Linked DNA regions of Macaca fascicularis. The protein of the gene in region 2 interacts with the protein of the main gene of each other region in a pairwise test. Links are inferred from orthologs where the notes say so. Each region holds a gene or a part of one and is shown on either strand. Other genes may lie near its edges.

Evidence for each region.
Region 1: the proteins of WASHC3 (region 2) and TXLNB interact in binary tests that used the Homo sapiens proteins (3 or more experiments, as listed by UniProt). The two-hybrid records come from large-scale screens. The link is inferred for Macaca fascicularis from reciprocal best matches to the Homo sapiens genes WASHC3 and TXLNB.
Region 3: the proteins of WASHC3 (region 2) and PBXIP1 interact in binary tests that used the Homo sapiens proteins (3 or more experiments, as listed by UniProt). The two-hybrid records come from large-scale screens. The link is inferred for Macaca fascicularis from reciprocal best matches to the Homo sapiens genes WASHC3 and PBXIP1.
Region 4: the proteins of WASHC3 (region 2) and HSBP1 interact in binary tests that used the Homo sapiens proteins (3 or more experiments, as listed by UniProt). The two-hybrid records come from large-scale screens. The link is inferred for Macaca fascicularis from reciprocal best matches to the Homo sapiens genes WASHC3 and HSBP1.
Region 5: the proteins of WASHC3 (region 2) and SYCE1 interact in binary tests that used the Homo sapiens proteins (3 or more experiments, as listed by UniProt). The two-hybrid records come from large-scale screens. The link is inferred for Macaca fascicularis from reciprocal best matches to the Homo sapiens genes WASHC3 and SYCE1.

The regions. Positions count from the first base shown.
Region 1 is NC_088378.1:43,337,108-43,341,113, forward strand, and holds the start of TXLNB (beta-taxilin), read right to left. Parts: upstream 2,801-4,006; 5' UTR 2,771-2,800; coding exon 2,341-2,770; intron 1-2,340. UniProt on the Homo sapiens protein: Promotes motor nerve regeneration. May be involved in intracellular vesicle traffic.
Region 2 is NC_088385.1:109,034,788-109,038,287, reverse strand, and holds part of WASHC3 (WASH complex subunit 3), read left to right. Parts: intron 1-3,084; coding exon 3,085-3,195; intron 3,196-3,500. UniProt on the Homo sapiens protein: Acts as a component of the WASH core complex that functions as a nucleation-promoting factor (NPF) at the surface of endosomes, where it recruits and activates the Arp2/3 complex to induce actin polymerization, playing a key role in the fission of tubules that serve as transport intermediates during endosome sorting.
Region 3 is NC_088375.1:106,189,455-106,193,620, reverse strand, and holds the start of PBXIP1 (pre-B-cell leukemia transcription factor-interacting protein 1), read right to left. Parts: upstream 2,801-4,166; 5' UTR 2,725-2,800; intron 457-2,724; 5' UTR 421-456; coding exon 370-420; intron 279-369; exon of another isoform or gene 172-278; coding exon of another isoform or gene 151-171; intron 1-150. UniProt on the Homo sapiens protein: Regulator of pre-B-cell leukemia transcription factors (BPXs) function. Inhibits the binding of PBX1-HOX complex to DNA and blocks the transcriptional activity of E2A-PBX1.
Region 4 is NC_088394.1:79,684,712-79,688,793, forward strand, and holds the start of HSBP1 (heat shock factor-binding protein 1), read left to right. Parts: upstream 1-1,282; 5' UTR 1,283-1,363; coding exon 1,364-1,408; intron 1,409-1,966; coding exon 1,967-2,033; intron 2,034-2,601; coding exon 2,602-2,720; 3' UTR 2,721-2,722; intron 2,723-4,082. UniProt on the Homo sapiens protein: Negative regulator of the heat shock response. Negatively affects HSF1 DNA-binding activity. May have a role in the suppression of the activation of the stress response during the aging process.
Region 5 is NC_088383.1:142,662,260-142,666,505, forward strand, and holds the start of SYCE1 (synaptonemal complex central element protein 1), read right to left. Parts: upstream 2,801-4,246; 5' UTR 2,776-2,800; coding exon 2,703-2,775; intron 1-2,702. UniProt on the Homo sapiens protein: Major component of the transverse central element of synaptonemal complexes (SCS), formed between homologous chromosomes during meiotic prophase. Requires SYCP1 in order to be incorporated into the central element.

The DNA.
Region 1 (4,006 bases), on a different chromosome or scaffold from region 2:
GTTGCTTACCTCTGGGATAAGGTTTTGTATATTGTCTTATGGAAACTTGAATAATGACTAGCTTTGTAAAGGGACGCATTTGAGATGTTTGGTCAGAGAAGAAAAAATTGCTCTGTAACACAGAGCAATTTTATTATGTTTTTCCATGTTCCAAAACACTAGAGTGATTCCAACCCTGCACTTTGGAACTTGAAGATACTTTAAAGTTATTATCTGGGTTCTTTTAATTTTATACTAGTTGGGTCAAGTATGCTATCTCAATGTGTCATTCAGCCCTTCTTGAAAGCATTGTAGCAATGGGTTTTAGCATCATAGCGGTATCTGTAGGAAAACAGCCCATTGCATGGCAAGAGTGATGCCATCTTAAAGCAAACCTGCCACGATGACCAATGTTTGACTCCTCCATACCAAGGTGTTCTGCAGCAGGGATCTCCAACCCTGTCTACCAGTCCATGGCCTGTTAGGAACTGGACTGCACAGCAGGAGATGAGTGGCAGGCAACAGAGCAAAGCTTCATCTGTATTTACAGCTGCTCCCCATCACTCACATTACCACCTGAGCTCCACCTCCTGTCAGATCAGTGGTGGCATTAGATTCTCATAGGAGCATGAACCCTATTGTGAACTGCGCATGCGAGGGATGTAGGTTGCACACTCCCTGTGAGAATCTAATGCCTGATGATCTGTCACTGTCTCCCATCACCCCCAGATGGGACCGTCTAGTTGCAGGAAAACAAGCTCAGGGCTCCTACTGATTCTACATTATGGTGAGTTGTATAATGATTTCATTATATATTACAATGTAATAATAATAGAAATAAAGTGCACAATAAATGTAATGCGCTTGAATCATCCTGAAACTGTCCCTCCCCAGTCCATGGAAAAATTGTCTTCCCTGGTGCCATAAAGGTTGACTGCTGTTCTGCAGCAAGGTCTTTAAACAATGCCTGTAACATAGATAATCCCTCAGAAAGATGCTTATCTAATGTTCCCAGTGGTCATGACTTTTGGCAAGGAAGTCTGAGATGTGACCAGCTGCACATGACTTTACCTAAAAGCTTGCTATGTAAAGGACACTTTCTGGAGAGTGGGTGCAGGGATCCACTGTCTCACTGCTGCCCAAGACAGCACTACTGTTTGTAAGCCCCTATTAAATATTTCTTTCTGAGAAAGTGGATTTGTCAGCTTCTGCTTTTGGCCTTCAGCTCCCTTGGTCTTTGTGAGTAGGTTTGTATATACCTGCTCACTGCAGAAAAATATTCTACTCCAGTTTGGGATATTTTTGGGTTTACAGATAATCTGGTTACTGGAGGTTGAACCCAGTTCTGACACCAACGCTTATGATCTTTCACTCTACCACACAGTCTTCCGGAAACAAATAAGATGTGGTCTCTGCCCTTGATAGATTCTCCAACTAGCATGGGAGATGGGTTATAAACAAATGACTTGCTGCAGAAAATTTAATGGGAAACTAAGGAAGGTGATGCTGCCTCTACCTGGGCGTATCAGGGAAAGTATCACACAGGAGTGGGTATTTGTAGTGAGTGTTTCCACCAGGAAAGATAAGCAGAGGGACTTTCCTATGTACAGTAACATGCTTTCACTCATAGTTTAAAAAATTAACATTCTCACCCTTTTTTCACAGCCATCGTTGGTGTTACCAATCTCCCGTGCTCTCCTAAAAAATTTTCCTGTTCCTGTTTTTGCACTTCTCCTATAGAATTAATTTACGTGTCTTCTGTTTTCTCTATACTTAGAGCTCCTTGACCAAAGGGCCATGACTTATTTACCTTTGTGCACCTAGCACAGTGCCTTACAAAGACTAGGTGTTAATATACAGTCATTGGGCACTTGAGGATGGGTAAAGATTTCTAGGTAAAGAAACTAGGATGGGCACAGGCCTTGTGGGAGATGGAGCATAGCATGTTCAAAGGCCTGAAAGACAAGATCAGAATGACTAGCTATTAGGCAGTAGTGGTGGTGGTAGTAATAGAAGCAGAGTGTTCAGGAAGGTGATGTTGTAGGGTAGAGTAATCTGAGATAAAACTGGGACTGGTTGGAGTTAGATCATTAGGATCTTAGAGAACATGTTAAAGATTTTGGTCTTCATCCTAAGAGCAGTAGGAAGCCATGCAACAGAGGGTCAATGGGTAACAGACTGAAAAGTTCACCTGAGCTGTATTGAGGGGAAAGGGCTGGGGACAAATACAGCAAGGGAAAATGTAGAAGGCTATCACAGTAATTCAAATATTAGATGTGGCTTTTAGTGAAGGTTGGAGGAAGTGCCCCTTTTTCAGGAATACTATACAGAAAAGTCATATATTTGAGTATAACTACTTGCCTAATCCTTTTAGGATTTTCTTTTCCAATTTTTGCTCTTTATTGCTGACAGGCTCTTTGACAGTGGGTGGCTCTCCAGAAGCAACAGGTTCTCTTCCAGCCTCTTCAGTTGTTTCCTCACAGTCCCCATCCTCATTGTCAGGTGATTCCGCATTCTCAGGCTGCTCACTAGCCCTGGCAGTGAGACCCATAAGTTTCCCTGCTGTGCTGGCAGCAGACCCATAAGTGTTAATGATGTCTTCCAGCTGTCGATTCAGCTCTTCAGAGATATCGGGGTGCACATCTGCCTCTTTCTCCGGTGGCTGGACTGGGGTTGAAGAATCCTGACCATCTTCCTTCTCCAGGCCATTGTGACGGGGTAATGATGAACTGTCCCCTGGAGGTGTTGACTGTTGTTCCGCTGAGAGCTGTTCAGCGTTATTAGCCTCCATCTTGGACTGGTATCTAGTGGTAAGCACATTAGGCTTTACATAGCTAACCTAGATGCTACATATCAATGCTTCATTTCAATGGTAAGGATATCCCCCAAGTGAATGCCAACTAATTATGGTCTCTCACATAGAGTGAATGTCCTTTCACAAACCATTGATGTTACAATTATTAAAGTAGGAACACTGAAAAGTTGTTTTTCCAAATCAAGTCACACTACTGGCATATTTTTGGTTTTGCTCTTCACTTTCAACAGTATTTCTTATTATTCACATTAAGAAAGTAATTCATGCTATTGTTTCTTTGTGGCCTTATTTGTCATTTTGCTTACACTAGTCAGTTTGTGTTGTCATTTTCCTGTATAGTTCTATATAGATTAACAATCACTGGAGGTACATGACTGTGTGTATTTAAAATGTTTAAATCTAAAATGGCATTAGTTTTCTTTCAAAGTTAAAATATTTAATAGAAGAGCCATCGAATTTATTTAAATGACTCATAACAATAACATCTCTAAGCTCTATTTGATCCATAAATCAGTATTTTGCTTAGTATGAATATTTTGATGTAAATGCATTATTACACTCGATACAGGAGACATTTCTCACTTTTCCGGCATTTTCTTTTTCAGATAAGCAACACGAATGCTTTTTCTGAGGCTCAAACTGGCATCATTTTTCAATTAAGACAGGGAATGAGGAAAGGTATAAATAAATAAACCAAGTAGTATAGAAACACAGGCCGGGTGCGGTGGCTCATATCTGTTATCCCAGCACTTTAGGAGGCCGAGGCGGGTGAATCACTTGAGGTCAAGAGACCAGCCTGGCCAACATGGTGAAACCCCGTCTCTACTAAAAATACAAAAATTAGCCGGATATGGTGGCCGGCACCCGTAGTCCCAGCTACTTGGGAGGCTGAGGTATCAGAATTGCTTGAACCGGGAGGCGGAGGTTGTAGTGAGCCAAGATTGCACCACTAAACTCCAGCCTGAGCGACAGAGCAAGACTTTGTCTCAAAAACAAAACAAAAGCATGATGCTGCTTATAACAACAATTCCTTAAGTTTCTATAATACTCTTTTATTCCAATATATAAACCAACATTTTAAAAGAGAAAAACAGATTACAACTTTCTCTTCGAAGTCAGGAAGCTCTAGAAAAACAATAATTTTTAAGAAGTAGCAATGTTTCATAAACGAGGAGGAGACCAACTCGAGAAATAATTCAGCAATAATAAGGG
Region 2 (3,500 bases):
CCAGTTGTCTAAAAACTGTGTTTCTGAAGTTGATTCCTTTGAATCAGCATCCTAATAAAAGCTATACTTTACATTTGGCTCTTAGATCTTAACATTTACTTATGCTTCTGTATGAATTTCAATTTTCTATTACTTTTTATTTCAAAAAATAAAAATTATTTGTTTTTTGAGAACAATCTCTAGTGTATCTTAGCGAGGTATTAAAATCTAAAACAAAATAATTATCAAAGTGGTGGCCTACCAAAGTAATAATAAACAAATTAAACAAATAGACTTATAATGGAATTCTGCCTTTGTACCTGGAGGCACTTTTCACAGGATATTTTTTAGATCACGATGATGTTGACAATGATGATAACAGCTAACACTTCAAGAGTGCTTTCTGTGTACCAAGGCATGCATGTTTCTAAGTGCCTTTCATAAACGAATTTAATCTTTACAACAGCCCTATAATATAAGCACCATATTATCAATCTTACTTTATAGATGGGTCAAATGAGGTATATAGAGGTTAAGTAACTTGCTGAAGGTCGAAAAGTAATGTAAGAATTAGAATTTTAACCCAGACAGTCTGGTGCCAAGAGCCCTAGCACTTACCTGCTACACTACACTATACTACACTACACTACTCTGTTTTCAGTACCTGTGTTCAATTTATTAAACATATTGAGGATATGTGGTATGAGGCCCTGTAGGAAAAGCCATATATTTAGAATATAGTATATATTTGGGTAATAAATTAGATGATCATTTACTTAATTAGATATTATAAAATTTAACATCCATTTATTTAATATAGCAAATTTCATTATCCTGGCCACTCAAATATATAAAATGCAAGAGGATATCCAGATGTTATAGAGGAGTTTAACTTTATATTCTCTCAATTAAATATGACTATCCTCTTTCTAAAACAAAGCATACCAAGAAAATATTTCCACTCTATCTAGTAGTTATTATGTGGTGGATAGAGCAGTCATATATTTCTATAATATTTTTAAGTATACCTGTCTAACTTTATTAATTTTTCCAGGTGCTATTATGAATGCCATCTATAGTATGCCCTTTAAAATTTTTATGCAGTTGTGTTGGTCCTCACATATTTAATGTCCCAAAAAATTGATTACCAGTAATCACAGCTGAATTTCTTAATTTGCTTTGCAAATTCAGAATAACCTGGTATATCTCTGGCAATTTTATTTAAAAATGTTTATGTATTTATTTAGAGGGTTTATGAAGTTCTTTTGGCTTCCAAAGTTTGAAATACTGTGATAAAGTTGTGTGTTGATTAGCTTAATAAAATAACTGCTCAGCATGTTCTTAATATTCACATCAACTTCTCATTTCTTCGTTGTTATCAACTGGTATATTTTATACAAAATATTTTGAAGTGGGCTTAAGTATTGCTTAATCTAGAGTTTTCATTGACATTATAGTTCACTCAATTAACAGATAAAGGGGAATAGTGCACTTTTTAAAAAAATCATCTATTTATCACTCTCTCTAATCTATACATGAGTCAAAGACCCAAAGTTTGTCTACTGATTTTTCTGCAACTTTAATTTCATGGTTCAGATTTCATCATTATTCACAATAGAATATCCAATTGTGCAGAGTGAGTTTGATTTGAGAATAAATGAAGGACAGTTGAGAGATATGATAGAGGATTTAATGGATCATTCAGATAGCAAAGGTGTTTCATAATTAAACCTTGTTGAGGTCTTGGTTATTACGCAAACGTTAACGACTGAGAGTTGATATCTGGCCAGGATATAGTTCTCATTTGCACCATTTTGCTATTATATATATGAGTTTAATTTCCATAAATTGTTAAAAAACATATTTGGTTATTGTTTTAATTTTTTATTTAATTAACAGTGTTTTGGAATTTTTGTATTTATGTATATTATAGATGAATATATATATACACACACACACATATATATACACACACACACACACACACAGTGACTTTTGTAAAACTTAGCAATATCATGTAACAGAAGAAACCTAAAGGACTTTTGGATGTTTTTATTTGCTTTGGAATTTTCAACAGATTTAATTTATATTTGAATTATCTGAGGAAAAACTTCAATATGTAATTCACATTCATAGTCTAAAGACTGTGAAGATATAAAGATATGGATTTATCTACATTTCAGCATGAACAATAGACATAAAATTGATTTCTTCTAAGGAAATTCTTCTTAATGCTTATATACAGATAATGAGAGAGATTCACAAAAGTAAGCTTTTTCTAAATGTTTGGTTTGATAGAAAAATCAAGTACTGTATACAGGCAGTTCTAGTTTTGCATTTAAGCAAGGATATGGTTCTGATATGCACAAGTTTCAGTAACATGGTACCATGCAAAGTGAAGACTGCCTGTATAACAATGGCATTTTTATCTAAAAAGACCATTCCCCAAGATTCTTTATTACAAGTCGTATTTACTATGACTTTTAACCACTCCGTAGACAATGTTACCATTAATAGTTCCATCAGTAGCTGAAATATATAAAACCAGATAATTTTGTCTGACAAACTGGCTTCTCTTCTACAACTTCTCCAAAAACTGCTTTCTAAAAAGTTAGAAGAGCCATGTCCACTTAGAATAAAATGATTTACTAAATAAAGGGTTCAATTAGGTAGATTATAGATATCTAGGAAATCAATTCATCATTATCTCAGTTAATTTATTATTAATTTATAAACAGTTGATAGTTTTATTAGGTTTCTTAAAAGTTTTGTTAAAATAGTATAACCACCTATATATAATTCATGCTTTGTATCAGCACTCTGAGGACAAGTAAAACAGAATTTTTATTTTAATGCATGAATATACTTGTGTTTTAAGGAACCAATATAGTGTTGAAGTGTAACCTCCTCTGAAGTGATATTTAAATATTTGTAGATATTTGCAAACATATCTCATCATTAAATTATTGGTATTTAAATTGGGGGAGATGCTTTTTTTTCTGCAATTTATTGCCTTAGAATTATGGAAAGAAGCATTCCTTTTAAGTAACATGATGGACCCCTTTTGTAAATTGTCTAAAGATTTACACAAAATACTCTCTACAGCAGAGCAGTACACAAGACTCTGGACTACAGGAAAGTGAAGTATCAGCAGAAAATATCTTAACTGTAGCCAAGGATCCAAGATATGCCAGATATCTCAAAATGGTTCAAGTGGTAAGCTAATTTGGTCTGTCTTCTTTGTGTAGCAGCCTCATTTGAAATTCTTAACCCTGGAGGTTTTGCTGTTATTTTTTTCAATTTGAGAAAACTGCTAAACCAAGTAACCAAGTTTTCTATTCTCTTCCTTTCTATTTTAACTCTCTGATTTAAAAAAAAAAAAAAAAAAAAGTCAAATCTTTGTAATTAGAATCGATCCCACACTTTAAATTAACATAGTTTAATATAGATTTATATAAATTTGTTTGCATTACACAAAGTTATCAATGCAAATCTTAGATACAAAAAGTAATGAAAGTAGA
Region 3 (4,166 bases), on a different chromosome or scaffold from region 2:
TCACTCCAACACTGGCTCCAACCCACGTCTCCACATCACCCATGGGTGTCCCACAGTCTCCCCCAGCATGGCTTTCCCCACTATCGCCTCGGGACCTTTGTTCACATTGGTCTCTCCATTCGAAATCCCTCCCTACTTGTCTCAGCTTACCGAACTGGTCCCTTCTTTCATAGCATGGTCCAAGTGCCAACACTTGAGCCCTGGGGCCCGATCTCCTTCTTCCTGCTACTGGAGTTCCTCTAACAGCCAGCAGGAAGTGATGCAGGTGACCATCAGGACTAAGGAAAAGGACCCACCAAGAAAGAAGCCCAGCACTGCAGAAACACCCCCCAAGCCTGCCCCCATGGTTCCCAGGCCTGCTCTTCATACCTCGGAGCCAGCAAGCACCCAGCTATTATCAGAGTCTGGGCAGGAGGCCATAGTTGCTGAGGTCCCTGAGGCTGCTGTGGCTGCCACCTGCAGAAGAAAGCTCTCTTAAGGATGGGTGCTCCTTTCAGGAGGGGCAGGATGCAGAAAGCAGCCTTGGCTGGGTTCCAAGGTTCAAGTGCTGGGCAGCAGCCTCCAGAACCAAGCCTGGTTCCAGTCCTTCTCTCCCTGATACCCCAACTCTTCTAAGCAGTATTTGCCTTGCAAATCAGAATCTGCCAACAGCCACAGAGAAGCCAGCCTCTTCCGGGGACCAACAGGGCCTTGGAAAACTGAACTGACCTTGAAAGGTCAAAGTAGCATAGGCTGGAAAGGCTCTGGGGAATTCCAGTCCAGCCCCCTGACATTTTAGTCAGGGAAGATTAAGCCCAGCAAGGTTGACAGACTTAACTTGCCAATAAGAAGCCTTGCCCTCCCTTCCCAACACCAGGTTCCTACACAATCACTACCTTCTCCCCCAGGACCTGCAAAGGAAGACTTGATGGCCTCTTTCAGCCCTAAATGTCCCACCACTTGCCCAGCATAAGTCCTTGGTATGGTCTAGTTCAATGGTTCTCAATCTTGGTTGCACATTGGAATCACCTAAGATTTTGATTCAATTGAGTTGGGGTGTAGGCCCAGGCGTGGGTCTTTTTAAAAACCTCTCAAATGATTCTCATGCGCACCCAGGGTTGAGAACCACTGGCATAGCTTAGATCCACCTGGATGCACCTTTTATGTCTCCTCATCACTCTCAGCTCCATCATAAATTCTGTTTACCTTCTTAGTAATCGCCAGAGTTTGGTGTTAGGGAACTTGAAGGTGACTGGGAAAATGGATTTATGGCAACTATCATGTATATATACACCACTTTATAGCTTGCAAAAGATAGACAAAAATCAGGGCTATGGTCCTGCACCTCGTTAATCTGCTCTGACTTGACAGGGACAGGGGAGGGAATCACTCCAGTTTCCAAAGCCTGACTGACACAAAGCAGAGTAAGAAGAGAGGGATCCGCCCCTTCATCCAAGGCTAAGACAGTTCCCTCAGGCAGCTCCTGTTGGGACCAGGCATAAAGGTGGAAGGATAGATGAGCTGACCTCTCAAGAGTACTGGATTGTGATCCTTCAGAAGAGGATAAATGACTGCTTCCCCAGCACTTTATAAGGAAACTCAGGAAAAGGGAAGTGAGGCTGGGACAGTACGGCAGTTCTACCTTCGAAACCAACCACCTTATCCCCTTCTGTTTGAGCTGTTTTCAAGTCCCACGTGGTGCCCTAAATAACCTCCTGTGGCTCCTGCCAGTCAAGATCCAAGTCCTGGATAGGTCTTTCCCAATGCCCATCCTCCCAGACACATGCACCCATCCCACACAGAGACAGGAAAATGGCTGTAATGACTTCCCTGTACCAAGTCCAAAAGGACACCCTGGCATGCATCTCTAAGTATCCATAGAGCCATGGCTGTTCAGCCTTCCGCTTGTGGCTCCGCCCCCGCCGTTGTCATCATCTCCCCATCCCCAGTTGCTGACTGTTAACAGGTGGTGGCAGGAAGGAAGTGGCAGCAGCTTGGGCTGAAGTCCCTGTTTATGCCTAGCTGTGTGTACAGTCTGCTCAGGTCCTCTAGAACCAGGCACCATGGCAACCACAGTGATGTCAGACCCACTGTCTCCATGGAAACCAGCAAAGATATTTGGGTCAACAAAACAAATACTTATAAGACCCAAATAGGAGACACTCTGAAGCTCCTATACTCTGGGTCCCAAACCCTGATATCTCTCTCTTGGTTAGGTTAACCCAGGATTCAAAAAAATACCCCTCTTCTCCCAAGCCAGCATCTCACTGCCTTATTAGGAAGTTCCTTCTGCTGTCTAATCTCCACCCTTCCCTGCTGTGTTTCCAGATCTTTTTCTTTTCATCGACCTTCTGGAAGAAAACCCACCTCCACTCCCTCCCCCCACCCCCTTCTTTTCATTCAGGCAGGATTCAACAAACACCTCCTGTAAGGATTATGACAGAGACTTCTGCTATTTCTAAAAAACAGCTAAAGGGGGAGCTCTCCCACTCAGTACAAAGCTAGGAAGTCTCGTCTCTAGTTAATTTAAACTCTTCTAACAGTTGCGCCTCCAAACCTCTAAAGCAAAGGATCTAGGGCCACTTGCCTGGGGTTCCTGTTTTGTTAGTGTCGGCACCTGGCCCTCCTCCCCCAGCCCGGAAATCAAAAGCAGCTCATTCCTTCTAGATTAGTTCCGCCTTCCCTTTTCCTTATTCCACCCCCGTCACAGGGAATCTGTGGACCCCTTCCCAGCTAAGGCATTACCTGACCCAGCTCTTGCTTCGGTCTTCAGCTTAACTTGTTGCTGGCTTTCCTTCGTTTGCAGCCCGAGAAGAGAATCATGTGACCAGAAACTGACCAATGAAAAGTCAACATCCCCAAGGGGGCGGAAACTTTTGGCCAATAAGAGAAGGACTTGAGAGTCAGGGGAGGGGAAGGGAGGTCTAGCGACAGGGCCCCTAAACTTGAGCTTACCGGGTGGACGACCGAGGTCTCAGCTAACTGTATCCTGAGTTTCCTGCCCTTCTTTCCCAGTGTCTAAACAGTTTCTAGAGGGAACCCCCTCCCCCACAAACTGAGAGAAAGGCAGAGGGTGCAGTCTTCTGAGATGACGAAGGGGCCAGGTTGGTCCCCGGATAGACAGAGACAGCTGTGAGATGGGGGAAGGGAGAGAGACAGGTCGCAAATCCAGGGTGTGGAAATAGCCCTCCTGCCGTTCTCCCCAATCTGCTCCAGCACAGACTGCTTAAAAGATGCCATGGCTACTTTTAAAAGAACTGTTGGGGGACGGGAACGATCTGAAAAACATCCCAAAATGAAATTTGCTGTAACAGGAGTAGCCCCTCCCCTCACCCTTAGAGCTACACTTGCTCCCTAACCCAAACAACTGGGAGGTGGGTGGGGTGCTAAACCCAGAAGAGCTCAAGCACTTGTCTTCCAGAGGCTTTGGTGCCAAATCCTCCTGGCTCCAGGCCTGGACCAGGAATATGCTCAGAAAGGAAACTCAGTTTCTCACAGCTGAGACACAGGGGGATGGGCGGGGAAACACAGGCCTCCCTTGGCTCAGCAGCTTATACCAGGGTCAGTTCAGGGGCCAGATCTGCCATTCCCACTCCCAGGGACCCTGGGGAGTATACTTATCCTCAACCCCTAAGCACCCTACCCAGCAGTGACAGTGGCTCATTCCAGCCTTTTCACACAGCAACAGCAAGGAGTCCTTGTCTGGGATTTTAGTCATTTTATTAATCCAACAGTACAAAAGACCCCCCACCACCACCGCATTCTGCCATCACTTTCTTCCAAAAAGTAGTGGAGTGAGAGGGCGAGAGGGAGCAGATCCAGCAAAGACACTCCCCCAGGAGCCATTTTACAAAATGCGGAGCGGGGGAAGACAACACAAAAATAGCAACAGATAAATGGGGCAAACAGAACCACAAACACAAGAGGTGAGCAGCGGGGTGGCGGGCGGGGGGGGGGTTGCCATCTACACCGTTTTAGTGTGGAGGACACTGGGAACGATGCCCAGAGGCTGCTTTCTCCTCCCGGCCTCAAAGGTTGTCAGCTCCACCAGAGCAAGGTCTTCTCTCCTCATGCCAGGAACTGAGAGATGTGGGGGTAGGGGACCACTAGGTCTTTGCCACTATACCTCGAGCCGGGGAACCCCTGACTTCTCTGAGGAGGGCCTGCTTTCCCCACGCACAGAGGAA
Region 4 (4,082 bases), on a different chromosome or scaffold from region 2:
GTTAAAAGGATTGTAAGTCACAGGATTGGGATAGGAGGTCAGCACAAGGTACAGGTCATAAAGACCTTGCTGATAAAACAGCTTGCAGTAAAGAAGCCGGCCAAAACCCACCAAAACCAGGATGGCAATGAGAATGAACCCTGTTTGTCCTCATTGCTACACTCCCATTAGCGCCATGACAGTATACAAATGCCATGGCAACATCAAGAAGTTACCCTATATGGTCTAAAAAGGGGAGGTATGAATCACCCACCCCTTGTTTAGCATACAATCAAGAAATAACCATAAAAATGAGCAACCAGCAGCCCTCGGGGCTCTGTCTATGGAGTAATCATTCTTTTATTCCTTCACTTTCTTAAACTTGCTTTCACTTTACAGACTCGCCCTGAATTCTTTCTTGCAGGAGATCCAAGAACCCCATCTCTTGGGGTCTGGATCAGGACCCTTTCCTGTAACAGGTCTAACCCCTTACAGACTCTCCCCACCTAAACTCAAACTGGAGCTGACCCTCACACACAGCAGTCCTTAAATGAGATGTGTGAAAGTTTCCAGAACTTTCACACATCTCCTTGCCAGGCCCGCAGTCAAGGACTCTCCTATCCCCTTGCCCTGAGACCCAATCCTAAAGACCATCTGTGGGGTTGGAACTAGAGGTTCCACCTCAGCAGTGCCCACCTCCTTCAACACCCAAACCCACAGTCTAACCCTGATGCCGGAAGCCTTCCCCACTCAACAGTAGGCATCGCGTGGAGTGCAAGAAGCCAGACATGATGGACAGCTTCCTGTCTGAATCCCCTCATATGAACCTGACGGGCACAATGAACCTGCAGGGTTAAACTCCGGACGCTGGCCACCCTCAGGGTGGAGATGACAGGACAGGACAGGACAGGACAGGGGCCATAGGGCTTCCGGGGGGCTCATGTTCCTTGACTTGGGGGCAGTTACAAGGGTATAGTGGGTCTTGTTGAAGGACAAAAGTTCAGTAAGTTCGTCCTGACAGGCCAAAGAAACCCAGAGCCGTCTTTCGACTGACTACAGCCTGGAATGGGGGCCAAGGCCACTCCCTGCCTCTATTGCTCCATTTCTGAGTTGGTCTCACTTCCCACTCCACCAACGGCACGCTGGGGAGGGGAGGGGCTATGCAAAAGAGGGCGGGGAGCGTGGGGTGGGGCCGCTCCTTGGAACGGAAGCGCTCGGCCTCGAGGCCCTTCCGGTGCGGGAGAAACTACTACTCCCATAATGCCCCGCGGTCCCGCGAGCAGCCAGTCTCGTCGCGAGAAGCAGCGGGCGGGGGCGTCTGAGCCGACAAACGGAAGTGTAGGTTACGGTCTGAGACATAACCGCCAAGCTGGGCGTCGGGGAGATGGCCGAGACTGACCCCAAGACCGTGCAGGACCTCACCTCGGTGGTAAGGGATGGCTGTGAGGGCCCGAGGCCGCGGCATTCTCGGGCGGCGCCGGGCCAGGCCCTGCTGGACAGAGGCGCGCCCACCGCGATCGCGCGTGGCGTCTGCCGAGGCCCCGTTTCTGGAAGCGTCTCTGGCCGAGGCTCCCGGCCACCTTGACCCCCTGGGCGCTCGGTGCGGACCCGTCTCCCCGCGGGCGCTCCCAAGCCCGACCCCCTCCGGTAGCCCCATTCACCTGTGGCGAACGCCCCCCGGGCCCCTCCTGCCTCCCTCTGACACCCTCCCCGCCCTTCGACTCCTTACACACCCCCGGGTGCCCCAACCCGGCAGAAACAGCCTAAAGACCCTGAACTTTGAGTCGCAGCGGCCTCCCCAGCCCACCAGTCTAATTAGACAGGTGGGAAAACGGAAGCCCCGAGAAGGAAGATCCTTGCTGAAGGCGGCACAGCTGCCCAGAGGCAGAAATGGGGCTGGAACCCGAGACCGGAGCTCACGTCCTGATCCCAGGAAGGTGTCTCAGGATCAGTGTGGACCATGTTTGTTTGTTTCGGTTTTTCTTAGGTGCAGACACTCCTGCAGCAGATGCAAGATAAATTTCAGACCATGTCTGACCAGATCATTGGGAGAAATATCCTTTTTATCTGTAGTGGGCCTCCTGTGGGCCTTTGGAGTCTCTTTGCCGGGCAGCGGTGGGGATAAATGAGTAGTTTTCAGGCCAGCTTCAGCCAGTCACTTACAGAATTTGAGCTTGGATTGTACTGTGTTTCCAAGAAGGACTGCGCCGAGAGCTCGGGGTACAGCTGAGCTAGACAGATCCCTGGCTCAAGGAGCGTACATCTACCAATCCTAATAGCTGGTGTGGTTGACCATGGACTGTGAACTAAGCGTTTTTGTGTGTGTCTTTCTTTTGATACTCAGCATGACCTTATGAGTGGGTTGTAGTGTTACCATCTTTAGCAAATGCATAAATTGAGGTTTAGGGGTTCCATCACTAGTAAGGGTCAGGGCCGGAAACCGATGCTGGGTAGCCATGCCCCAGAGGCCTATACTCTTACCCACCAGCCTGTAACAGTGTCTAAAGGAAATTGGAAGACCTGTTTCCCTAAAATCGTTGTGTTTAAGGCCGTAGTCTACAGGGACGGAAGGAAAGGGCTCAATGAGGAGATGTTGGCACGCGTTGTCTTTAACTTCACCACTTGATGATATGAGTAGTCGCATTGATGATCTGGAGAAGAACATCGCAGACCTCATGACACAGGCTGGGGTGGAAGAACTGGAAGGTGAAAACAAGATACCTGCCACACAAAAGAGTTGAAGGTGAGGAAGGGGGCAATTTTTTTTGTTGTTTCTTTTTTTCTTTTCTTTTTGTTTTTTTTTTTTTTTAACACGGAGTTTTGCTCTTGTTGCCCAGGCTGGAGTGCAATGGCACAATCTCGGCTCACCACAACCTTTGTCTCCTGGGTTCAAGGGATTCTCCTGCCTCAGCCTCCCGAGTAGCTGGGATTACAGGCTTGCGCCACGACGCCCAGCTAATTTTGTATTCTTAGTAGAGATGGGGTTTCTCCATGTTGGTCAGGCTGGTCTCGAATTCTGACCTCAAGTGATCCGCCCACCTCAGCCTCTGGAAGTACTGGGATTACAGGTGTGAGCCACCGTGCCCGGCCTTTTTTTTTTCCCTTAAAAGAATAGAACCTGTAAGTATAATTTTGATGTAGTCAGACATTCTGTAGATCAGTTCCCAGCCATGATCCCAGCAAACATCCCTGTATTCTTTACCCGCTGTGGACTTCATGTTTTGGAATTTTTCATGCCAAACTCATTCTTTACACTGAATTTATTTTCCCAGTTTTTATTAATTAGACTTCTGTCACTGTTAGTTAAGACAACTGGCTAACATTAGATAACCACTGAGTTTTTATCATTCCAGCTAATAAAGGGGTTTTTGTTGGCCTATAAAGCCTGTCACTGGAAGATTTTCCATTGCTTTTCTTGGGAGGCGGGGGGCGGTGGAGGGGATCGCTGATAAGTCGCCCACATTACCACCTTCTTAAATGGCTTAAATTCTGGAGACTTGCTTGGTAACTTGACATAGGTAAACTAGATTGTGGCCACATTAAGCTTTTACTCTGGAGTTCATTTAAATTTCCACTGAATAGTTTCAGATGTCAGAGGAAAGCCCATTAAAACTACCCAATAGCAAGATAGGTGCACTGAGTGCACAGTCCTTTTCCTCTGTATATGTGAAAAATAAGTTTTAAACTCCCTTTTCTCATGTTTCATGTATAACGTTTTAATTCTCTATAAAAATGAATGTTACCCAGGGAGGCAGAGGTTGCAGTTGAGATCGCGCCACTGCACTCCAGCCTGGGCGACAGAGTGAGACTCGTCTCAAAAAAAAAAACGGTTGCTGGCACGTGGTGGCTCATGCCTGTAATTCCAGCACTTTGGGAGGCAAAGGCGCGCAGATCACTTGATGTGAGGAGCTCGAGACCAGCCTGGCCAACATGGTGAAACCCTGTCTCTACAAAAATGGGCGTGGTGGTGCACGCCTGTAATCCCAGCTACTCGGCAGGCTGAGACAGGAGAATCCTTTGAACTCAGGAGGCAGAGTTTGCAGTGAGCCATGATCATGCTACTGCACTCCAGCCTGGGTGATAGAGCAAGACTCTGTCTCAAA
Region 5 (4,246 bases), on a different chromosome or scaffold from region 2:
ATCCATGTGGTCTAGCCTCATAATAATTCTCCCTTTTTGGACACCCATGATTCAGTGTGGCCTCTTCCCAGAGCTCAGAGATCCAGTTAAAAGATAGGTGGTCACTATCTAAATAAAACTGGTCTCCTGTGATCCGACCACCTCCCACCAGGCCCCACCTTCAACACTGGGGATTACAATTCAACATGAGATTTGGGTGAGGACACAGATTCAAACCATATCACAGGCCAAGGCCGAGGCATGGTTGAGAAGGCTCAGAGGCACCTGACCAAAGTTTGTCACAATTTTGATCGACATTACCAAATTACCCTCCACTGATGTATACAAGATGCCCAGTTTTTCATTTTTACCAACCACCTGTGTTTCCAAATGTGTTCATCTTTGTCAACCAGATATGCAAAATCAAGGTGTCTCCTTACAAACTCTCTGATAGTAAATATCAAAAGTTTGGGTGCATCTTCTTTTCTAAGACTATGTCCTAAGTAATTCTGATATGGATAATGCGCAAGGTGTTCATCACTATATTGTTTATAATAGTAAAAAACTGGAAGAAGCCTAAATATGTCTTAGGGAATTTGTTAAATAAATTATAGCACATACACAGGATAAATCATTTACAGCCATTAAAAATCATGGATACATGCATAAGGCCAGGCTCAGTAGTTCACATCCATAATCCCAGCACTTTTGGGAGGCTGAGGCAGGAGGACTGCTTGAGCATAGGAGTTCAAGAGCAGCCTGAGCAATGCAGCAAAACCCCATTTCTACAAATAACAAATTTAAAAATATTATCTGGGAGTGGTGACATGCACCTGTGATTGCAGCTACTTAAGAGGCTAAGGTGGGAGAATTGCTTGAGGCCAGGAAGTCAAGGCTGCAGTGAGCAGTGATTGTAACACTGCACTCCCGCCTGAGCAACAGAGCACAATCTTGTCTCAAAAAAAAAAAAAAAAAAAAAAAAAAAAAAAAAAAATCAAGCATAGAGTTTTGTGAAATGCTTATTTTTGAGTTTATGGAGTCCCCTCATTTTGGTCCCACCCGAAATCTTACACAAATCACTGCTCATAAATTTATGAATTAAGTTTTACATTATTCAAGTAATTGGCATGTGTGAAAAAGCATGAAGAAAAAATTGAAACACAAACATTCGTTTTCCCCAGTCATTCCCCTTTATAGTAATAACTGCAGCCAGTTAGATGGAGACTAACAGACCTTTTACTAAAATGTATCTAGTGTCACTGATCCTAGATAACATCCCGACTAAAACTGGAATCTTGTCCTTTAACTTTCTTCTGTAGCTGGTCACTATAGACTGAATGTTTGTGCCCCCATCCATAATTCGTATGTTGAAATCCTAATCCCTTAGTGTGACTGCATTAGGAGGTGGGGCCTTTGGGAGGTGATTAGGTCATGAGAGTAGGGCCCTCAGCAATGGGATTAGTGCCCTTATAAAACCAGAGAGGCCGGCAGCAACTTCCCCCATATGAGGACAAAATGAGAAGACAGAAGTCTACAACCAGGAAGCAGGCCCCCACCAGACGCTGCATTGCACCTTGATCTTGAACTTCTAGCCTCGAAAACTGTGAGAAATAATGGCATTTCTGTTGTAGCAGTTTGAACGAAGGCACAAGCAACGTTGGTTAAACCTTATCTAAATATACTAGGTTATGTGAGGAACATGGAGCTGTGATACTGAAAGGCTACCACAGTGGCGGGCCAGTAGGTGCTTAATGAAAGGGATACGTTTGCGTCTGTCCTGTTTACTTGCTTTGTCCTTCACTGGGGCTTTCACTGTGCCACATCTCACTGTAGGGATGCTTTCTGTGCCAAGCTTGTTTCAGTATTCAAACCTTCATTTTGTAAGAACACGACAGAGCACCTGCCATGATATTCACGCAGGTAGGGCTGGAGGCAGCCACCGTGGCGTTTGTTAATTGCAGCGTTTTAACTCAGGGGGGACACATGAGCTCAGGACAGAGTGACAAGTTGAGTGACAGCAGGAGGGACGTCACCGTACAATTCTCTCCACTTTTGTGTAAGTTTGAAAATTCTCCCAAAACACCCAGAGGTACACAGCGTCCTGAAGTGGAAACGGCCAGGACAGTGTTCTTTCTCTTTGTTGGGCTGCAATTTCGGGACTTCTGTACAACTCTGACCAGCTGCCTTGTCCCTCCCTTCCCAGGGTGAGGTAGGAGCCTCTACGGCAGGTCGGGGTCGGGGAGAAACAAACGGGAGATCTGCGGGGAGTCGGCCTCCCCCGGCTCCCCGGGGCGTCGGGATGCTGGGTGGGGGAACCCACTGTCAAGAACCAGGTTAGTGCGACCGGGAAATCTGGACACTTGCTGGTTCTAGAAAGAGGAGTGTGGAATTAGGAATTCCCTTGGGATTGGGAGCGTCAGGAAAATGTCCTTTTTGTTTTAAGAGGTGTGTATGAAAAGTCTGTGGAACGACAGGATGTCTTTTGACTAATTACCTAAACCAAAATTGGAGCAACCACGATAAAGGTTCAATGCTTTAAGACGAAGTGAGGGGTGTGCGGGCCAGCACTCCCTCATCTTGGCGGAAAGTTTTCTGAAGAAACCCGCTAAGTCTCAGTCAGCACCATCAGGACTGACAGGAAGTAGTCGCCACCCGCGCCCCAACCCTGCCCCGCCTCGGCGAGGTCAGACCCTCACGCACAGTTCCCTGCCTCCCTCCACTACCTTCGGCCTTCTCAGCCCCGTCCATGGCTCCGGCGGTGGGCTCGGCCTTCGACGCCAGGGACCTCCCCGCCATTTCCTCTCAGCTCAGCAGCGCGGGTGGCTTGGGAGGAAGCCTCCAGTGGTGATTGGAGCAACCCCTGCAGGGGGCGGGACTCCAGGCAGCGCGCCTGCGCAATGCACCCCCGCGCGCGCTCTGGATATGTGAAGTAATGTTCGGCCGGCCTGCCTGGCAGCTAGTGCGCATGCGTAAAGGCCCGAGGGTTACAAAGCCCGCGAGGGCCACGTCCGGCCGTCCAGGCTCGCGATTGGCCCGGTTCTGGGTGCTCCCGCGCATGTGTGCTGGCCTCCGAGGGGGGCCGGCCCTGGTTCTGGAGGCCCTCACCACGAGCGACCAGTGCGCGTGTGCCACGCAGCAACTGCCTGTGAAATGTGCGTGTCTCACGGACGACTCCACGAGGCGCCATGGCCCCGGCAACCTCACGGGGTCGCGGCTCTGCTTGGCCACGCCACCGCGGGAGTGCACGGACCCCAGCAAGTGACGCGTCTGTGGCAGCCCCCGCGGGGCCCGCTGTTCCCGCTGGCGCAGAGGAGCGCAGCCTGCCCCTAGGCCGCGTTCCCGTGAGCTCCATGCCCACAGCGGCCCATGCCGGCCACAAGCCCACGGTCCCTTCTGCACGGGCCCTGCCACGCTGGGGCCACCGGGGAGGCCTGGAGGGCACTGGGAGGAGGGAGGAGGAGCCGAGGCTTTCGGGAGAACCAGCCCTTCACCGGCCAGGGGAGGCTGCGATGCACCGTGACTGGTTGTGAAGAACCAACAGAAGAACTTCCCGTGCGGGTGAGTGGGAGACACCAGAACACCCGCCCGTCCTAAATACAAAGCCTCGAATCCCAACCTATAAAAGGTTACCTTAGGGTTTTGGGTTAGGGCTACAGGTTAGAGTTAGGGATAAAGGTTAGAGTTGGGGTAGAGTTAGGGTTTGGGTTAGGGTTTAGGGGTTAGAAGTTCGTTTTAGGGTTGGGGTGGGGTTAGGGTTTGGGGTTAGCGTTAGGGATGGGGAAGGATTAGGGGTAGGGTTAGGGTTGGTCGAGGGTTGGGGTAGGGGTAGCATTTAGGGTCAGGGTTTAATCGTTAGGGTCAGGGTTTAATGGTTAGGATCAGGGTTTTAGGGTTGGGGTTAGGATGTTAGGGTTAGGGTTTGGGGTTAGGGTTTCGAGGATAGAAGATTAGGGTCAGGGTTAGGGGTTAGGGTTTGGGTGTTAGGCTAAGGATTGTTAGGGTTAGAGGTTAGTGTTTTAGAGTAGGTGTTAGGGTTAGGTGTTGGTTTTGGGGTTAGGGTTAGGGGTTACGGTTTAGGGTAAGGGGTTAGGTTTAAAGGTTAGGGTTAGTGTTAGGAGTTACAGTTGGGTTAAGGCTTAGTGTAGGGGTAGGGCTAGGTTAGTGCTTAAGTTTAGCGTTGTTATGGTTAGGTTTAGCTTCAGGGGTTAGGGGTTAGGGGTAGCAGTAGGGTTAGGGGTTAGGGTTTGTGGTTTCAGTTTAGCTTAGG